Yarrowia lipolytica: one gene and its partners. The protein of the gene in region 1 interacts with the protein of each later gene in a biochemical or structural test. Links are inferred from orthologs where the notes say so. Each region holds a gene or a part of one and is shown on either strand. Other genes may lie near its edges. The genes, in order: YALI1_E18854g, YALI1_F03735g and YALI1_E39500t.

Region 1 (6,452 bases):
TTTATTTATTTACTTTTCTACTTTAAATTTACTTAAACACCTACCTAACGTGAAACAGAATTAATTCAATAAAACTCTGCTTGGAAAAGTAAATTAAAAATGAATTAAAATTATGAAAATGTAAAAAAAAAAAAATCCGACTATTAACGTATTAAAAATTGATTTAGAAAATATTAAACAAAGTACACGTTATGAATCACGAGCACTTGTACAAGTACTTCTACTTCTGCTTCTACTTCTACGCTATGTTATCACAATTTATTTATTTTTGCCTGCATCTCACAATCCAACCCTTACCCTTATCACCCTGTACGCGAGATTTAGGTTCAGGCCATCTGACCACCCTCAATATACCGACTTGCACATCAATGGGCCAAACCGAGTCGAAACAGACGTTTCGCACCGAGATTTTCCGGTTGTCGACGGATTCCAGCATTCCTGAATCAGATACCATCTTCTGGAGCAAATTATGGATGGTTCCGGAAAACGCCAGCGACATCTTCACACTGGTGGGCGAGAACGATGTCCGAACGGCGCTCCAGACTTTTCCAGACAATATAGCCACTCTGGTCCGAGTCGTGAGCCAACAGATTATCAATTGCGACGATACAACGCCCGAGCCGCAACTGCTCAATTGCATTCGCGTTCTCACCAGGGTGCTACCAATTGTGTTTGAAAGTGGCACCAAGACGTTTGATGACGATCTCTTCTGGAGCAACGACATTCTGGGCGAGAAGCTGGTGACAAAGCTCGTGTCGCTTTTGTTCAATAAAAAGCTATGCGGCACCTCGCAAATCTGGGAAATGGGAGTGGGTTGTCACAGCGTGGAAGGAGGGGTGACCAGCGCGCAGGAGGGAAATCGCTGCGAGATTCTCAGGTTACTCGTGTGCTGCTCGTGCAAACAGCTGTACACTAGTGTTAACCATGTTACCACGCAGGGCTCCCGGTTTCTCACGTGCATTGTCAGCGGGCTTGGTAAGAGCGACACCCTGTTGCTACTGTGCTCTCTGCTCAACTTGTCGCTGGTGCGGTTGTTGCGCGATGCCAATGCCTTCCAAACAGTCGTGTTTGGGGGCTCTCAGACGGCGTTCTGGGCCCTGGAACTGTTGCTTCTGCTTGTTGTCTACTACCCCCCGGAGCCGGGCGTGAAGAACAACTTCAGATACTTTCTGGGCAAACTCAAGCAGGATGTGGACTTTGAGTTCATTGCAAGACACATTAGCGAGATTCTGGCCAAGTTCTCGGCCTCCTCTGGCTCCATTTTGACTGGCAAGAAGGAAACACGCACCAACGAGATTATCTGTTTGTTATGGGAGATCATTCAGACCAACAAGCGATTCTTGCCGTGGCTTCTAAAGAAGGGGTACCTCGACAACATCATTCTATCGATTCTGCAACAAATCAAAATGTGTGAGAGCACGCAGACTCTGAGGCTGCTCAGTAACTTCCTGCTCTATCTGAGTGATGATGATGTGGTTGTGTCTTCGTTCGACGATGGCACTGTGAATTTCAACTATGTGCTTGGCCAGCTCTTCTCTGTCATCACTCAACCTCGTGAAGAAATCAACCCCATCATCCCCACTCTGGTTGAATGCATCTACAACCTGTCTGTGCAGGCCAAGCATATCGACTACACGGTGTCGTGCCAGCTGGTTGACATTTTCGACGTTCTGTCATCGCCCTCCTTCTTGTTCGCCAACTCCACAAACCGCTTCCTGTTGGAGCTCACCCTGGAGTCCATCAACGCCATGCTTGAATACAACTTTCAGGCCAACAAGTCGCTTGTCTTTGTTCTACAGAAGCGACGGTCGTCATTTGAAAAGCTGCATCGCCTCGTGAAGGAGAAAGGAAAGGAGCCTACAAATGGTGAGGAGGACTTGTCATGGCTAGAAGACCTTCCACTCGACACCATTGACACGGTCTACGCCATGATTGAGTCCTCTGTCCCTGGGTTGAACACATACTCCGCAGTACCACCACCAAGCTCCAGCACAAGCCCTGCTAGCGACGAGCCCAAGACCACTAAAGACACACCCTCCACGATGATCGACACTATAGGCACCCTCAATCCTCCTGTGCAGCCCACAAAGTTCCACAAGATTGAGTTTCAGTGGGACCCAGTGCTTCTTGGCTGGTATCTATCTCTCATTTGGACCAGTCTCTACACCCATGAGGCTCGCGTGGGTCGTCAAGTGACCTCCCTAGCTGACACTGTGGGCACAGGGTACAGTACGGGTGCCGCTGCAGTGGGTGTATGGAACCGAACCCACACCAAGCTGTTCAAGGTGCAGCAGAGTGTTGCAGCTCCTAATCTCGGTGCTGTGGATGCTGTAGCGTTGAACGTGTGGAAGCGGATTACTAACAGGTAGCCAACGACAGTGTTTGCCACAAGAACTGATTATAGATAATGATGAATGATGAACTCACGACAGAACTACTTGCTTGCGCTAAATTACAATCTTTCATAAACTATATATACCCCCATCATTCATAACAACTAGTAACACCAATCCCCCATTACATGTATTGGTCGAGGTCCTTGATGAGCTCATCAATATCCTTGAGATAGTCGAGCGCCTGCGCCGTAAGAACCTGGTGACGAGCCTTGGATTCTTCGTTGTAAAACTCCTGCTTGGATCGGCATCGCAGAGTGTACTGTTTGCCGGTGACCTTCTGAACAGCTTGCTCAAACTCATCGTCTCCTTGGCTAGTCTGGATCTCGGTCAATTGATCTGCGGTCATGCCCATAATCACTTCAGCAGGCTCGTTGAATGCCGTCAGCCACATGCTTCCTGTGGCATCTCCCACGTTGATGGAGAGGATGTATCTGTAAAGAGGTTTATCCATGTTCTTTTCACACTTTTCGCATCGCCACTCGTCACCATGCTCGACCACCTTTTTGTTACAGTCCGGAGTCTGACAAGCAGGGTATGCAAAGTTGCCGGTTCGAACGTGCACGACCCAAGCCTGTAGGGTGTAGTAGTCGGGCTTTTCTGACTGTCCGTAGCTGGATGTGGCGACATCAATGGGTGTGGCGGCCACAGGCTTGTTGGTGGTAGTTGTCTGCAGCTGCTTAAAGCTCGTCTGCTTACCCTCAGAGGCATACCATCCCTTGAGCGCGTAGGTCTCGTCGATGGCTGGTTCCACGGCAATAGTGGAGCTGTGACTGGTGGACAGGTTTCGGCCGTTAAAGTCGCCAACGCGGGCGCCCTTGATGGCGATAATGGTGCCAACAGGAACAGTTCCCTCGTCGAAGGAAGTGGCCTTCTCTCCAAAGAAAGTCAGACGGGTGGCAAATCCACTCTTGTCTCCCAACATGAGGTTTCGTCGCTTATAGGGGTTGCCAGTAGCCTTGGCCACGCCGTCTTCCAGGGGACCAACGTTCTGGACGACACCAAGAACGTCAACATTGTTGCCAACTTCAACATCCTGCAGCTTATCGAGAGTCACAAACGAGTAATTGGCTGTGGGGATAGCAGCGGCCTCGGCCTCGTCCGCCTGGATGATAACCGTGTCTCGGCCAAACACCAGCTCGTAGTCATTGTTCACGTTGGAGAACTTCTTGTTAGCCATGGAGACTCGGCATTGAGTCACGTAGTAAACCTGGCCCTCCTCCAGCATGGGGTAGAACTTATCCACCTCCTGGTTGAAGCCGGTGGCTCGAATTTCGCCCGTCTCGTCGATAAAGGTGACATTGAAGAGCTGGCCCTCTCCCTTGGTGTTGGAGAACTTCTTCTTGTCGGCCTTGGAAGTGACTCGGACCTTGATGGCCCACTTGTTCTGGTAAGGCGAAAGTCGCTCAATGGGCATCACAGTGGCGGGGAATCCCTGGGCCTGGACACCAGCAGGAATCTCGTTGGTAGAAGCCATTCGCTTGGCAGGGGTGGGGTTGCTGGTGGCAGCAGCAGGAGCAGTAGCAGCAGCGCCACCAGGAAGCTCAGCATCCTCTTCGGTATCGAGTCCCAGAGCCGCGTCGGCGTGGCTCAAGAAGTCCATCTGGTGGACGTAGACGACTCCTCGCTGTTTGGCCATGACCAGCTCAAAGTTGCTGAGCTTGACAATGTCGAATTTGCCCGGTCGTTCTTGGGGCAGGTTGTCCAGGTCGCCGAACACCATGCCGGGCTTTTCTCCGTCAAACAGAGTCACCTTGAATCTGTTCTTGCCGGGCAGCTCGCTCATGGGCCGCACAATCTGGAGAATTGGAGCCCGAAACTTTTCAGGCAGCTCATCTCGGCTGGTGGCGTTCTCCACGGCGTCGAAAAATCCGGTCGATAGCTCAAACGTCATCTTGTATCTTGTGGTCTTGTGTGTATGTGTGTGTGTGTTGCTGTGGAGCGTAGAAAACAAGCAGATGAATTTTGGAAAGAACGCGTCGCGCAGGCGTGCACACTCTTAATTAAGTAGGGTAAGAAGCGAACCTTGTCGCGGAGTGGCGGTGGCAAAATTTAGAGAAACAGGAACATGGAGGGGGGGTCAGTGGATATCCTCTTTACTGCCATATTCTGAGCCTCTGCTCCTTCTTTTCCTTCAATTTCTGTACTGGTCCAACCATTTCGAGGTCCATGGTAGCGTCGTCTAGACTACCCCCTAAACAGTATCATACATGCGCATCTTTTATTGTTTACGCGTTCGCATCAAAAACTTTAGGCAGGCTACTGGACGAGCGATGCATACAGTATTTGGAAGATTGAGACTTGAATACGTCTGAAAAAAACACAAAAAGATACGATATTTCCCCTCGAGCTTGGAGATAACTGATTTTCCTGTCCCAATTCCAATCGGTATTCGCCATCACCCCGCATTGAGTTGTTTTCAACTGAAGATCAGTGGTATAGGCTTGTAGTAATAGTCTTGTCCAGACAGTATCGATCCACAGCAGCTCGACCGGAGCAACCAGTTTTGACGACAACAACAGTCGTTATCATTGATGTTCTACAGATAGTACCAGTCCGTTGAGGTTTGGTTTGATAGCTTCTGAATCGTGTGGAGCTGAATTCGCGTGGAGCTCTGAATTATCGTGCGTGTGGTTCGCAATGTCTATAACGAGAAACCAGCAAGTACTTGTACTTGAGTTATATTTTTGTTTTCTTCGTAATTTACAAAGTATTTCTTTTTTTTTCTTTTATTTTTTTTTTTTCTTTTATTTTTTTTATTTCTTTTATTTCTTTTATTTCTTTTATTTCTTTATTTTCTTTTATTTCTTTTACTGTATTTTTATTCCAAAATAAAGTTTAGATGGACGCGAGTGAAATGTAAATTGTCATTCTACCACCAACACGCGTACACTTCAACACAACATCACCACACACCATCACAACACCATCACAACACTATGGGCACCCTCAAGGCTATTGAGCTGTGCAACTTCAAGTCGTACCGTGATACGCACCGTGTGGATCTCGGTGACTCGTCGTTCTCGGCCATCATCGGCCCCAACGGTTCGGGTAAGTCCAACATGATGGACGCCATCTCGTTTGTGCTCGGAGTGCGGTCTTCGCAGCTCCGATCCACCCAGCTCAAGGACCTCATCTACCGAGGCCGAATCATGCGTGGCGAGGAAGTCAGCTCGACCCAGTCTCAGGAAGCCACGTCGGCATACGTTCTGGTGGAGTACGAAAAGTCAAATGGAGACCTACTCAAGCTCAAGCGAACCATCACACCCTCGGGCACGTCTGAGTACCGAATCAACAACAAGGTCACGTCGTCAGGCGAATACAATGCCACCATGAAGAAGGAAAACATTCTGGTCAAGGCCCGAAATTTCCTGGTCTTCCAGGGAGATGTGGAGCAGATTGCCAGTCAGTCGCCTCAAGACTTGTCCAAGCTGATTGAAATCACCTCTGGCTCCATCGATCTCAAGCCCGAATACGACCGTCTCAAGGAGGAGCTAGATGTCCAGACTGAGCGAAGCAACGCAGCCTGGCAGCGACGACGTACCTACAACGCTGAGAAGAAGCACTACGTTGAGCTCAAGGACCGTTACGACGCGTACACCGCCAAGGCCGCAGAGCGAGACGAGGCCGTTGTGAAGCAGCAGCTGTGGAGACTGTGGCAGGCCCAAAAAATCGAAGATGAGGCCCGAGACCAGATTGAAGGTGGAGACGCTGCTATCCAGAACGCCGAGGGGGCTGTTCAGGAGGCTGCTCAGGAGGTGGAAAACGTGGCTGCCAAATATGCCAGCGACAAGAAGCGGCTGCTCAAGCAGGAGCGTTCGGCAAAGAAGCGAGCAGACGTCATTCTGGAGCACAAGCAGCAGCTCGTGCCTGTGGCTGAACGTATTGCTGTGGTGTCCGGCAACATTTCGCGTCACGAGGCTCGGTACGGCACTGTCGAGGCTGACTTACTTCGACACCAGGACGAAGTCAAGCAGACTCGAGGCTCTCTCAAGATGGTTCAGGATGCCTCCAGTGAGTTTGAACGAGATCTGTCATCGAAGCAGAAGGAGTCAGGCG
Region 2 (6,229 bases), on another chromosome or scaffold:
ACTGTAACCACGGATAATCATCACTGTAAACCACGGCTTTACCATACAACGCCAAACTGTCAGAGAACGTTGAGCCGCACCCCTACACTTCCGAACACGTGACCCAGCTGCCTCCCACTATTCAGTGCAGTATCCTACAAGGACACGTCATGCAAGGGGAAGGGCTCACCAGCCACTGCAGGGTAACGGGCAGCCATGAATCCAGTGTTTGGGTGAGACAAACTGATAGAGAGAGAGAGAGAGAGAGAGAGAGAAAAAACCGAGTCGAGAAGGCTAAAAAAATAGCCGTTGAAGAGTGCTAGTATGGCGGGGGGAAGTGGCGGTTTATATACATGGAATCAGCAGCAGTGTATCCACAAAGGGGACGTAACACAAATGCTCACACCCATCTATGTCCCACACTCACACAGCTTCACTCTTGACATCCGCTTTCATCTCATCGAAACACTCAAGCTTATACTGTACAGTAGCCTACTCCGCCGCCGTACCTCCTGTATCTCCCACCACCAGAGTTTCTAAATAGTGGGATGAAAAGGTGAAGATGGTGATACCGTAGATGGGTGTTAGTAGTGGATAAACGGCCAAAGTGTGATATTTTAGTCGCAAGAATACCATACAATAGACACGTGGCACCCATAGCACCCACATCTACAGCGCTCGTACTGTCCTTGCTAACCCTATCATCCAACTTCCCAAACAAGCGTCTTCTAATTTTTCACCGCGTGCGTGCAAGTTTTTTTTCTGCAACACACAAAAGGGACGACAAAATGGCCAAGGAAGTGGAACCAAGCGACGCCGAGAAGAACATCGAGATCTGGAAGGTGCGAAAGCTGATCAAGAACCTCGAGGCCGCTCGAGGTAACGGAACCTCCATGATCTCGCTCATCATGCCCCCCAAGACCCAGATTCCACAGTACTCCAAGATGTTGACCGATGAGTACGGAACCGCCTCTAACATCAAGTCTCGAGTCAACCGACAGTCGGTGCTCTCCGCTATCACATCCACTCAGCAGCGTCTCAAGCTGTACAACCGAGTGCCCACCAACGGTCTGGTTATCTACTGTGGAGACGTGATTACTGCCGACGGCAAGGAGAAGAAGATGTCCATTGACTTCGAGCCCTTCAAGCCCATCAACACCTCTCTTTACCTGTGTGACAACAAGTTCCATACCGAGGCTCTGTCAGAGCTGCTGGAGTCCGACTCCAAGTTTGGCTTCATTGTCATGGACGGTAACGGAGCCCTGTTCGGTACTCTGTCCGGAAACACCCGAGAGGTTCTGCACAAGTTCACCGTTGATCTGCCCAAGAAGCATGGTCGTGGTGGTCAGTCCGCGCTGCGATTCTCCCGACTGCGAGAGGAAAAGCGACACAACTACGTGCGAAAGGTGGCCGAGGTGGCTGTCCAGAACTTCATCACAAACGACAAGGTCAACGTCAACGGTCTGATTCTGGCCGGTTCTGCCGACTTCAAGACCGAGCTGAACGGCTCTGATCTCTTTGACAACCGTCTGCACGCTAAGGTCATCAAGACTGTCGATGTGTCGTACGGAGGAGAGAACGGCTTCAACCAGGCCATCGAGCTGTCTGCCGAGACTCTGTCCAACGTCAAGTTCGTTCAGGAGAAGAAGCTGCTGACCCAGTACTTCGACGAGATCTCCATGGACTCTGGAAAGTTCTGTTACGGCTACGACGAGACTCTCAAGGCCCTGGATCTCGGAGCCTGCGAGACTGTCATTGTCTACGAGAACCTTGACATCCAGCGAATGACTCTCAAGAACAACGATGGCGAGGAGACCATTGTGCACATCAAGAAGGGAACTCCCACCGAGGAATACCTGATCGACAAGGAGGGTAACGAGCTGGAGGTGGTCGACGAGATTCCTCTGCTCGAGTGGCTAGCCGAGCACTACAAGGACTTTGGCGCCCAGCTGGAGTTTGTCACAGACCGGTCCTCCGAGGGTGCCCAGTTCGTCCAGGGCTTTGGTGGTATCGGCGCTCTGCTCCGGTACAAGGTCAACTTTGAGCAGCTCGTGGAGGAGTCTGACGACGAGTACTACGACGACTAAGAGACTAATGTGCATCACAAAAATGTTACGTAACAAAATTATAGTGGAGAGAGACTGGATGAACGACGTGACTCTCCGATTATAGATTATGGATGGGTTATTATTAGGTGAAATAGTTGATAGTGCCTTGCCACAACACTGGTAAATTAATACAACGGATGGTGACAATGACAACAAAACAATGAGCAAGTAAATCACAGCACACTGGAAGGCCAAGTACAGTCACCAGTATCTGTACAGTAAAACGCGACACATTAATTGGAGGCCAATAAAACTAACTACGACGCTTACTGTAGCTCTGGACATCAGAACAACACCATCCCTATTGGTCCAGTCGCCTACAGCGGTACAGGACGACTACATACAGCACACTTGAAATTCACTTGCTACTCTGACTGTACACCATTCATATGCAAATTGATAGAAGCTAATATACACCCTCCATCTGTCCATCCCTCGTTTTCTATTCATCATTTTCGTTAATTTTGTGCTTTTTGGCAACAGGGGTGGTAAACTCGGGCTTCACAGGATTCACTAACGGCTTGGACAATGGGCTGGGGGGAATGTTGGTGGACTTGGGGTGCATGGGAGGACGTGGTTTGGCAATAGGCACACTCCTATTATGCTCCAAGGTGCGCTTAATGGAAGGACTTTGGATGTTGATGTCAAACGCGGCATTCTGTGAAATGGGACTGCCCTTGTTGATATCTGCCGCAACGCTGGCCTTGAAGAAGCCCACGGGGATAGGCGATCCGTCCTCCTCCATTGCCTCAGCCGAAATGGGCAGGTCTTCGTCAAAGTCCTCAGCGGAGATGGAGGGCGAAGGGTTGCGTCCGGCCTTGAGCTGGGGCACTAGGGAGTCGAGGTCGAGATCGTCGTCGTCAAATGAGTAGTCGATGCCCTCGCACATGGCCTCTATGGACACGGCCTTGCTGCGGTTGCTGGATGTGTTTGAATGACCGTGGAGGCTGACGGAAGGCGCAGGAGGGGCAGGGGCAGGGGCTGGAGCAGGAGGATCCTGATTATGCGAGGTGGTGGATGTGGATGTAGATGCAGTAATGTTGGCAGCAGTGGCCTGCTCCTGCTTGATATCACGCTTGATGACAAATTCTGGCTTTCGAATCAGATTATTCTCATCAAACGTGTACTTGGCAGATCGCACCGTCTTGAGCTTGCTCAGGTATTCCGAGTCGTACAGACAGTTGCCCAGAGAGGGGCCAAACTGACGCATGGCTCGCTTAAATGCATCCGTCACAGCCTCCTTGCGCGACTTGTTGAGCGCCATGTCTCGCTTGGGGCAGTTCTCGACATTGCCGGACCCCGTGTCTTCCCGATAGGTGCCGTCCTTGAGATGGACACGAACAATAGCATAGACGCCCACGTCCCATCGCTTTGTGTCGGGGTTCTGGTCGCAGTAGTCGACCTCCAGCTTGATGATCTGCGACCGCCAACCGTTGAAGCCGAAGATCTCGTTGGCCAGATTGAACACCTTCCAGCCCTCCAAGTAGTGCACGCTTCGACCTCCCGGACTGGGCCGTTTGGAGACAAATTCGGGGCCCAGGTTGTGTTTGAGCAGATCAGACACCTGTCGCTCCTCGCTGCGCGAGTAAGGAATGTTGGGGGCGCCCCCAGAGCCCGTGGTGATGGCTTTGGGTGGATCAGGCAGCGCGTAGTGGTCTCCGAACTGTGGCATTGCTAGTAGAGCGGGTGGCGTTTTTTGATGCAATTAGGAAACAAGGTGGTTAGTGTTGTGGTACCGGCGGAAACGAAGTCGTTTCGTTACGATCAGATGCTTGTCACTGAGGAAGTAGTTTTTGTCAGGCACTTTTTTCTTACAACGAAAAAGCAGGTATCCTTGCAGGTGAACTTCTCTGGTGTGACGCGTCTATGTCGATGCAGGAAAAATACCTGCAATGTTATGATCAGAGTAAGCAGCTAAAAATGCAGTCTTAGAGGAGAGCAAGATATGGTACGGAGGGCGTGAAGATGGTGGGTGAGGAGAAAACAAGAGCAAGTTAGACATGAATAATGAGCATTAGCATTGCTTCAGCTTTGTCACCGCCCTTATAATCTTCTAAATAATACTCTTGAGGTGTTCCTGGTTCAGTCTTGAATTTTACAGTTTTAGTGTCAACACGTCCACACGCGAAACGCTCTCTCGATTACAAATTCAAGCTTGCTGTGAGAACGCGGCGGGCGTAGATTGCCCCTACAACATGGCACGTGACCGGGAGACGTAGATATTGCTCTTCACAATGCGGTAACATCACCAGTGAAGAATCTGCTTACGTACAGCACCTACTTGCCTATATAAGGACTTCCACTTCTTAGTCACCAACTTTAGTTACTTAGCTTTAGATGTAAATTTGTTGAGAGAAGAAGTCAGCTAGGGGTAGCTATTTCGATCTTCCCGAAATGGTGTAACAAAAAGAAGGATATAATTGGATAGATAAAGGAGCGATGTTTCATATAAAGCAAAAAATGTATCTCTTCAGCGTCAATAAGTGGAGTTGGCGGCGTTGGAGGGGGCAAGGGATAAGTAAGCGCTGTTGGGATATTAGTTGTGATTTAGTTGGTAGTCTGAATATACAAGTACTGTAAATAACGTGTGAGAGGTTGCCGAAACTATATATAAATAAATTGTGGGAGGTGGCAGTTTCAGGGTCGCCGAGAAAACTAATAAGACAATGAATCAACCGACCAATATAAATCAACTGCAATTACTCCATTCACCTTCCCACTCCCTCCCCCTCCCGCCCACCAAGTATTCTCCTCTAACCTGTCTCCATCCACTGATTGTTACTCAAGCTTTCTGCATTGTTGTTTCTGCATGTTTGGATAGCCTCTGAAAAAGATTCTGGAAGCTTGCGAGATCAAGAAGTGAACCAAAACAACCACATAACCGCCGCAACCACCGCTACTACTAACGAATCTGCATCATCCAAACTAGAAGAAACGATTACCGACACATACTCACACACACAACTCACAATACACACACCACATGGTCAGCGTATCGCGAATGATGCCGGTGCCTAGTGCCCGGTCGGAACCCATCCCATACCACAGTCTCATGACGCTGGTGATGAAATACAGATTTGGCAACATGTATCGGCTGCTGTTCACGCTTTGCTATCTGATTGGAATTGTGATTGAGGTGCTACGACGGGTGTTGGCGTCGTCAGATGACTCCTCATGGTGGTGGTGCCTGTTACCTCTACGAGCCTCTTGGCTACTACTGGGTCTGTTGCCGGTCGTCATCATGAGAAAGGCCGACCTGCACATACGGGAGCTGCCGTACCTGTCACTGGCTGCTGAGATCTGTGATCGTATCTTCTCAACCACGTTTGTCGTCACCTTCGCAGCATACATGCTGTCAGCATCCATGTTCTTCGGTTACTACACCAAGGCCATGTCGACAGAGAACTCGGCCTTCACCACCCGAGCTACCCCGTTGACCCAGCCTATGCTAAACGAGAATGCCCTTTACCTGATGGTGTTCCCAATTGCTCTGTCTCTGGCCCAGTCGGTGCTCCACATCGCCAAGGACATTGACAAGCTCATTGTACAGCCTGTGACCGAAGAACCCGCTCGACCCATGGAGAGACTCAAGCACCAGATGACCGACATTGTCAAAAATGCAGGCACTCTGTCGGCGGGCTTCTCTCTGGTCGTCTACCCCATCATGTTCTACCCCAGCTTCCGCACCAAGATCTGGAACATCACTATGTCACTGTCGGGCTACTGGTACGGACTCAACAAGGCACAGACCCCCGAGGTGTATCCCGGTCTACGATTCTCGCTGGTCATGGACACTTTCATCGCCTCAGCAATCCTGTTGCTTCTGTGGAATCTCGTCAACACCACCTTCTCCATCTACATGTCTCTGGGACCTCTACGCAAGGGCGAAGGAATCAGTGAATCGTCTCCCGACAGAAACGGAACTTTGGTATCGGGACTGCGAGACTCCAAGCACGTTTACCCGCAATCGGTGGCATTCCAGGAGCTGCTCTACGTGGCCCTCTTCTCTCCACAGGGACGAGTCCAAATGTTTGAAGATCTCAGCAGAGATCAGAGCATGTGGGTCGAGGTATACGCCGAGTGCAAGAAACAGATTGTAGCTGTGACCGAGGCAGCCAATTCGTCCATTGGTAAAGTCAAGT
Region 3 (6,661 bases), about 2.1 Mb from region 1:
ATGGTTGGTGCCGTGCCAAGTCTTGATTGGGTCCTTGGCGGTAAAATGTGCAGGGTCCCCCAGGAACGGTTCCTGAAAGTGCCTCGGCATGCAGCTTGTTGATAACTCTCTGAAAAGCAACTTCATGACGTCAGATATGAGATTTTGGGATGTGATTGTGGATACAAGTAGAGAATATGCTGAAGATATGAGTTAGCGAGGACACATTCAAGACAAAGTTCGTTACCAGCCCCTTGGGTCGCTCCCCCCACTCTTTCGTTTCATCGGTATATAACGACGCATCTAACATGTATGCCAGGTACGGATCCTGACAAGTGAGACAAACACAATACAAACACAATGGAATACTCGTACAGTGGAAAGAATGATGGGGGACGGCACCAGGGGGTACACTTCAGGTGGAGAAACGGCATCGACCATACCTTTATGGGGTACATTAATTGGTTGTTTGACCTCGAAGATCAACAAAGAATCTCCAACTGCCCATGACCATCCACCGTTGAGTTTGTTGGTCAGTCAGACACAATCTGTGCTGTCCCCAATACCGCACATGCTGTACAGAAAACGCGCAGTTTCAGCAGGATATCTTAGAGACAGGTTTTCAATCCTTCGTTTATTTCGCTTTACGCCCCTTTGTGGTTCATTCCATTGCGGTAGTCGAGGCATGTATACTGTCCAAGTTTGTTTCAGATTTTGAGCACCGTGTTTTGAATTAGCATCGCAGTCTCATTTGGCTGTCGTGTGTACTGTACGAGTTCTATGAGGATATGATGTTACCTGTTCCAAGCCAAGAATGAACCAATCTCACATGTTTGTCCAAGTGCGGATTTGTCTCACCTGGACCCCTGTCTTGGAATGTCTTGGTCATATTATTTGGCTCCTCTAGAAACCCGTTTGCGGGTAAGGAAGCAACCTGTGCATGTTGCATCACGGCCCGCACTGCCACTACAAGTACTGTACGGTAGAGGCAGTTGAGACAGGTCTATTGAGATGGAATGGGTTTTGAAACAACAAATATACATTATAATTCTCTTTTTTTTTAATACATTCTGTCAGTTCGCCGAAGAAAAATACCTTAAGAATGTCATTTCTTGCTCGTCAAAGAGAGGTTGAAAAACATCATTGAACTTCAACTGAAGTGCTTCCATCTACAAGTTTTGTTTGGAAACAGAGAGAGACAAATCCCTTCCAGATACAAGTAGCTTTTGTTAAAGATAATTAGACCATGTACTGTATCATTAAAATAGGGACAGCAATCCCATGTTCCAGATACGTAACGAGAAAGTCATTCATTAACGTGTTCACCATTTGAAACTTCCTAAGTGCGTTTATTATTACTGCTGTATCGAGTGTAGCAGATTTCTTTCGTTTTTTTTATGATTCCGTTTATTTCCATATGACTTTAGTTGAGTTTAGTTGATACCCGATGTGAAAACACCCTACACATTAACAATCTTGTGCTCATACATACTGTACTTGACTTCTGTTTCTCTACAGCATCAATGTTCACCAAATTTCAAATTTAGACGCGTAATACCACTCATGTGGTTAGGGTTAGCACGGATCTCTCAAACACGATCCCGAGTGCAAATATCGCATTTTACACCTTTATTGCATTTAGTACAATATCTATATATATATAGACACCCTATCTTATCACTTACAGTACTTTCCTTACACTTGCTATCTTACTGCACGTGTCACTGTGTTTTTTTTTTTTTTCTGCATATACATTCATTTAATTATAACTTTGCTGTGAAAGAATAACCTTTGAAATGAATGTACGCTTACACGAATATTACTAATTAAACACGTTTAGTGTCATGGTCCAACTTGGCACGTACCTATTTCCAGTAAAAAAATCATAAAAAAACCTGGTTCAGTCCGTGTTGTATGTTGGTCCACATAGCTTCGCGTGTTTGTTCGTTCATCGGGAAAACGCCACTCCAGTCTCCAGTTCTCTAATCTCAATCCTTCCATTGCCCTCTTCGTTTGCATTGCCTTTGAAAATGTCTCCTTGTGGTTCTTCTTCGTCATTGGTTTGGTTCTGCGTCCCCTGTGGTGACTACGCGCCCTGCTACGCTGTTCTCTCGGTGGCCTCGGCCGCCTTTTACGCTTGCTACTGTGTCTACTCTCGCTCATCGTGAAGTGCTGGCGGTTGTCCATCGTAGAAACACATCTGGGCTTCCTTCAGGAATTGAAGCAAACCCTGTTGGACATGTCCCAGGGTGGCGTCGTCCCCTGAGTACCGGAGGGATCTCTCCATCTTCCAGATCCCATATGTTCTCACGGTGACTTCTGTGAAACCCACCAGATCTGAAGCAACGCCACCTTAACCGTGTCGACGTGACGCGTCAGACACGCAGTGACACACAAATTGAAAAACATACACACCTCACAACATTGATCTGATCCACGCCACCAAACAACATGTCGAGATATTTTCTGGGGTCTGTGCCCCAAGATGATCCGTCACCGGCTGCTGAAGAGGACGAAGACCCGTCCTCCGACTGGTCGGCAGCCACACCCATAAGGCCAAGGGAAAACATCCCCAGTTCGGAACAGTACGAGTCCAGTGATGGCCACATTTCTTGCATTCTCTCCCCGCTAGACAGGAACATTGTGATCCCTGACCAGAGCGACGAGCCTCCGATTCCAGTGGTCCTTGATCCAACCGAAATCCTTCTGAGACGCTACCGACCCGAATCATTCAACAACTCTGCCGCCAGCTCAGCGGCAAATTCCACAACGGTAAAGGCTTCTTCGGCTGGTTCAGATGCCAACGCCACAAGCAACTTCACCAACAACCTGGATCTCAACACGACAGTCATTGCAGACGATCCGTTCGTGGAGGCGGTGTGCTCTACGCCCAAGGGAAGGGACATTAGCGGACGCTTTGAAGAGACTACACCAACAAGAGGTCCACCCGCTCCAAAGCCAGAAGAGTCTTACAAGTTGTCATCTTCACCGCCAAAGGCCACAGCTGAGAAGCCTTCCATAACCACCAGCATCGAGGGTTTGAGTAGTCAGCTTGATATCCTTGATGACTTGGATGACGACGATATTGATTTTGCATTGACCCAACATACCCAGAAAAAGAAGGAAGTCAAGTTAACACAACCTACCATTAAAAAGGAAACTGATATCCACGTTTTGAAGGACATTGAGGACCTAAAAAAAACGCGTGGGTCTCCCATTAAGCTTTCAAAAGCATCAATGGGGTCTAATATTAGGCCCCTGACTGAAGTCAAGAAGGTTGATGTCAAGTCATTCATTGACGACCTGGAGGACGAAGACTTTGATAGTGATTTGGAACTCGAATTCACACAGGTTCGGGCCAAGAAGAAGCCGCGCCTTCAGACATCGAGATATAAGCTCGTCACTGACCATGTTATGTCTCAACGAACTCACAAGGAAAACGCCTTACCCGTGGAGATTGACTACAAACGAGACGATGTTCTGCGGTTCAGAATCGTCGAAGTGGAGGAAAGTTCGACTCAGATCGCTCTAGTTGTGGAGGACAGCAAGGCCCAGCAACACCGTGTTGCTTTGCGAGGTTGCTGGATGCGAGCAATACCTTGTGTGGGAGACATTTGTCATTTGATCGATGAGTCATCAAATGACGACATGGATCTCGATTTCGAGATGGATTTCGACTACATTGTGGACGACATGAAGGGCGATATGCTTTTTATTCTGAATCCTGACACTCTGGTGACCTGTACAGCCGTTGCTGAGGCCCACCAGTGCACTCGAAACGTGGTTCTGAAAGACAAAATGCAGGGACCGAGAGGAATCGGGTCTATTTTTGCACTCTTGGGTGTCATTATCCACGAGACCATCCAGATGTGCTTTGGAGCTGTGAGATACGACGCCGAGTTTGTGGAGTCATGTGCTGAGACCGTTACCAAAGCAAACATGGATGGCATCATGCTCTCTGGTGAGAGTTTTGACTCTGTGTTTGCCAAAATCAAGGACCGACTACCGAACATTGTGGAGTGGTTTAGAGAGTATATGCGTCAGACTCCCTCTGCAGTGGCGATTGAGAATCGAACAGGTAAGAAGAGAACTCTTGCTATCACCAAAGTTGTCGATGTTGAAGAAGAGATCTGGTCTCCGCGATACGGAATCAAGGGTAAGATCGATGCCACCATTGAAGTCCGGGAGGGAAACCACCGATACTTGGTTCCTCTGGAAGTCAAGACGGGAAAATCTACAACTCATATTCCCCACCGGTCGCAAACGGCGCTGTACACTCTCATGTTGCATGATCGGTACACTTGTCCCATCAACTTTGGAGTTTTGTATTACTCTGCCACCTCTGAGACCCTTGTCATTCCAGCTGTCAAGGACGAAATTCATAACCTGCTTGCTATTCGAAACGAGGTTGCTAGCTTCATGCGACAAGGGTCTCGAGACATGCCTGACGTTATCTACGATCAAGGCCAGTGTGACCGGTGTTTCCAGAAGTCGGAATGTATGGTCTATTACCGACTCTACGATACGTATTTGAAGGAGTATATGGGTGAAGATGGTGGAGCGACCGCCAACAAGGCCAGATTCTTGCAGGAGACCGAACATGTGACTGAGAAGGACTCTCAATTCTTTAACCACTGGGATGCCTTGCTGGCCAAGGAAGGAAGTGATACTGCAGTGCTCAAACGAGAGGTGTGGACCATGCTGTCCAAGGATAGAGAAAGGGAAGGGAGGTGAGTATTGATGAGATTATGCTGCCTTTAATTTTACTAACAGAGATGTTTCTCAAGCCTTATTATTGACAACGTGGAGAAGAATGCCAATTCATTGTGGTACACGTTCAAGTCTCCTGATGGAAGCGAGATCCCCTATGCATCTGTCAACATTTCGCCGGGTGACCGAGTAGTCATTTCTGATGAGGCTGGTCATTACTGTTTGGCTATGGGTACTCTGCTTGGCTCGTCTTCAGAGACTGTGCGATGTGCTCTTGATCGTCGACTTGAGTTCTCTCTGCAGAAACTCCAGGGTTTCAGATCCAACGACAACCAGGTTTTCCAGAGCATGCTGACCCACAGTTCTCAGAGCCATGAAGCCCCCATAGATTTTAGGTTTCGGGTTGATCGTGACGACTTCGCTTTTGGCCTGGGAGTTGCCCGTAACAACCTGTTTTCTCTGTTTGCCAAGCATCTCGGTACCGATGAGAGCCCCCAGAAGATCGAGCAACTGCGTTCATGGATTGTTGATTTGGCACCCCCTCAGCCTGTTGCTGGAGAGCCCACTGTCAAACTCGGTCGACTCAATTCCGACCAGACTAGGGCTGTCCACCACATCCTGAACTCAAAGGATTACAGTCTTCTACTAGGAATGCCTGGAACCGGTAAGACCACCACCATTGCTGAGATTATCATGGAGCTGGTCAAGAACGGAAAGACTGTTCTCCTGAGTAGTTTCACTCATTCTGCTGTCGACAACATTTTGTTGAAGCTGATGCAGCACCCTTCATGTAACTTCGACATGCTGAGATTGGGAAGCACCTCCAAAATTCACCCTGAGGTTGCGGAGCATTACGCAGCCAACAACCGACGGAACTACGAGACCCGAGAAGAGTTCGAGAAGCTTTTTCTTGCTCCTCCAGTTGTTGGTGCAACTGCCTTGGGTATTGGAGACTGGGTTCTTCAGGAGCGTCATTTCGATTACTGCATTGTTGATGAGGCCTCCCAAATCACCCTTCCTTTCTGCCTCGGTCCAATCCGCTATGCAGACAAGTTCGTTCTTGTTGGAGATCATTACCAGCTGACGCCCATTGTCAAGAATCCGGAAGCTGCTGGACTGCGAGAGTCTCTTTTCAAGATGCTATGTGACGCACATCCCACCCAGGTAGTTAATCTGGGTATTCAGTACCGAATGTGTGCTGATATCATGTTGCTGTCCAACACTCTGATCTATGATGGCAAGCTGAAGTGTGGTAGTGACGAGGTGGCCAACCAATCTTTGGCTGTTCCTCAGCTCTCCAAACTGCGTACTTTGTACGCCGATGGACTCCCCAATGGCGACTATCTAGGTCATGTTCTGGATCCCAAGCGGAAGGTTATCTTCCTCAACACGGATCTTGTTCCTGCGCAGGAAACTATTGCCGGCGATAGAATCCATAACCCCACTGAAGCTGTCATAGTGGGCCAGATTGTGGAGGCTCTTTGTCTGTGTGGCGTTGAAGACTCACAGATTGGATGCATCTCGCAGTACAGAGCTCAGCTGAAACTTATCAACAAGGAGCTTGCCCTGCGAAGTGGCATCGAAGTTATGACCGCAGACAAGTTCCAGGGCCGAGACAAGGACTGCATTGTGGTGTCTCTCGTGCGGTCAAACAACGAGCAGCGAGTCGGTGATCTTCTCAAGGATTGGCGACGGCTCAATGTGGCCTTTACGCGATCTCGATCCAAGCTCATTGTCATTGGATCTCGAGCTACCCTTGAGTCGTTTGATCTTCTCAAGGAGTTCTTGCGTCTGATCGATGACAATGGATGGATGTATTCGCTTCCAAAGGACTGTACTAAGATGTACAGCATTGTCAAACAGGGTACTTCCCCTAGAAAGAAGCAAAAGCGTGTTGGCCTGAGCCAGCGCTTGATCGATAACCGGCCTATCATGAAGAACATTCTTGAGGGTCTTTAGATAATATATATTA

What was found.
Region 2: the proteins of YALI1_E18854g (region 1) and YALI1_F03735g form a complex in vitro, tested with the Saccharomyces cerevisiae proteins (2 studies listed by BioGRID). The link is inferred for Yarrowia lipolytica from reciprocal best matches to the Saccharomyces cerevisiae genes RFA1 and RAD52.
Region 3: the proteins of YALI1_E18854g (region 1) and YALI1_E39500t form a complex in vitro, tested with the Saccharomyces cerevisiae proteins (3 studies listed by BioGRID, with this or other methods). The link is inferred for Yarrowia lipolytica from reciprocal best matches to the Saccharomyces cerevisiae genes RFA1 and DNA2.

The regions. Positions count from the first base shown.
Region 1 is NC_090774.1:1,883,234-1,889,685, reverse strand, and holds YALI1_E18854g (uncharacterized protein), read right to left. Parts: upstream 4,288-6,452; coding exon 2,518-4,287; downstream 1-2,517. Other genes in the region: YALI1_E18895g (uncharacterized protein), read left to right, coding at 192-2,369; YALI1_E18843g (uncharacterized protein), read left to right, coding at 5,333-6,452. UniProt on the Saccharomyces cerevisiae protein: As part of the replication protein A (RPA/RP-A), a single-stranded DNA-binding heterotrimeric complex, may play an essential role in DNA replication, recombination and repair.
Region 2 is NC_090775.1:371,075-377,303, reverse strand, and holds YALI1_F03735g (uncharacterized protein), read right to left. Parts: upstream 3,760-6,229; coding exon 2,530-3,759; downstream 1-2,529. Other genes in the region: YALI1_F03765g (uncharacterized protein), read left to right, coding at 768-2,066; YALI1_F03722g (uncharacterized protein), read left to right, coding at 5,071-6,229. UniProt on the Saccharomyces cerevisiae protein: Involved in DNA double-strand break (DSB) repair and recombination. Promotes the annealing of complementary single-stranded DNA and by stimulation of the RAD51 recombinase.
Region 3 is NC_090774.1:3,947,610-3,954,270, forward strand, and holds YALI1_E39500t (uncharacterized protein), read left to right. Parts: upstream 1-2,430; coding exon 2,431-4,709; intron 4,710-4,754; coding exon 4,755-6,648; downstream 6,649-6,661. UniProt on the Saccharomyces cerevisiae protein: Key enzyme involved in DNA replication and DNA repair.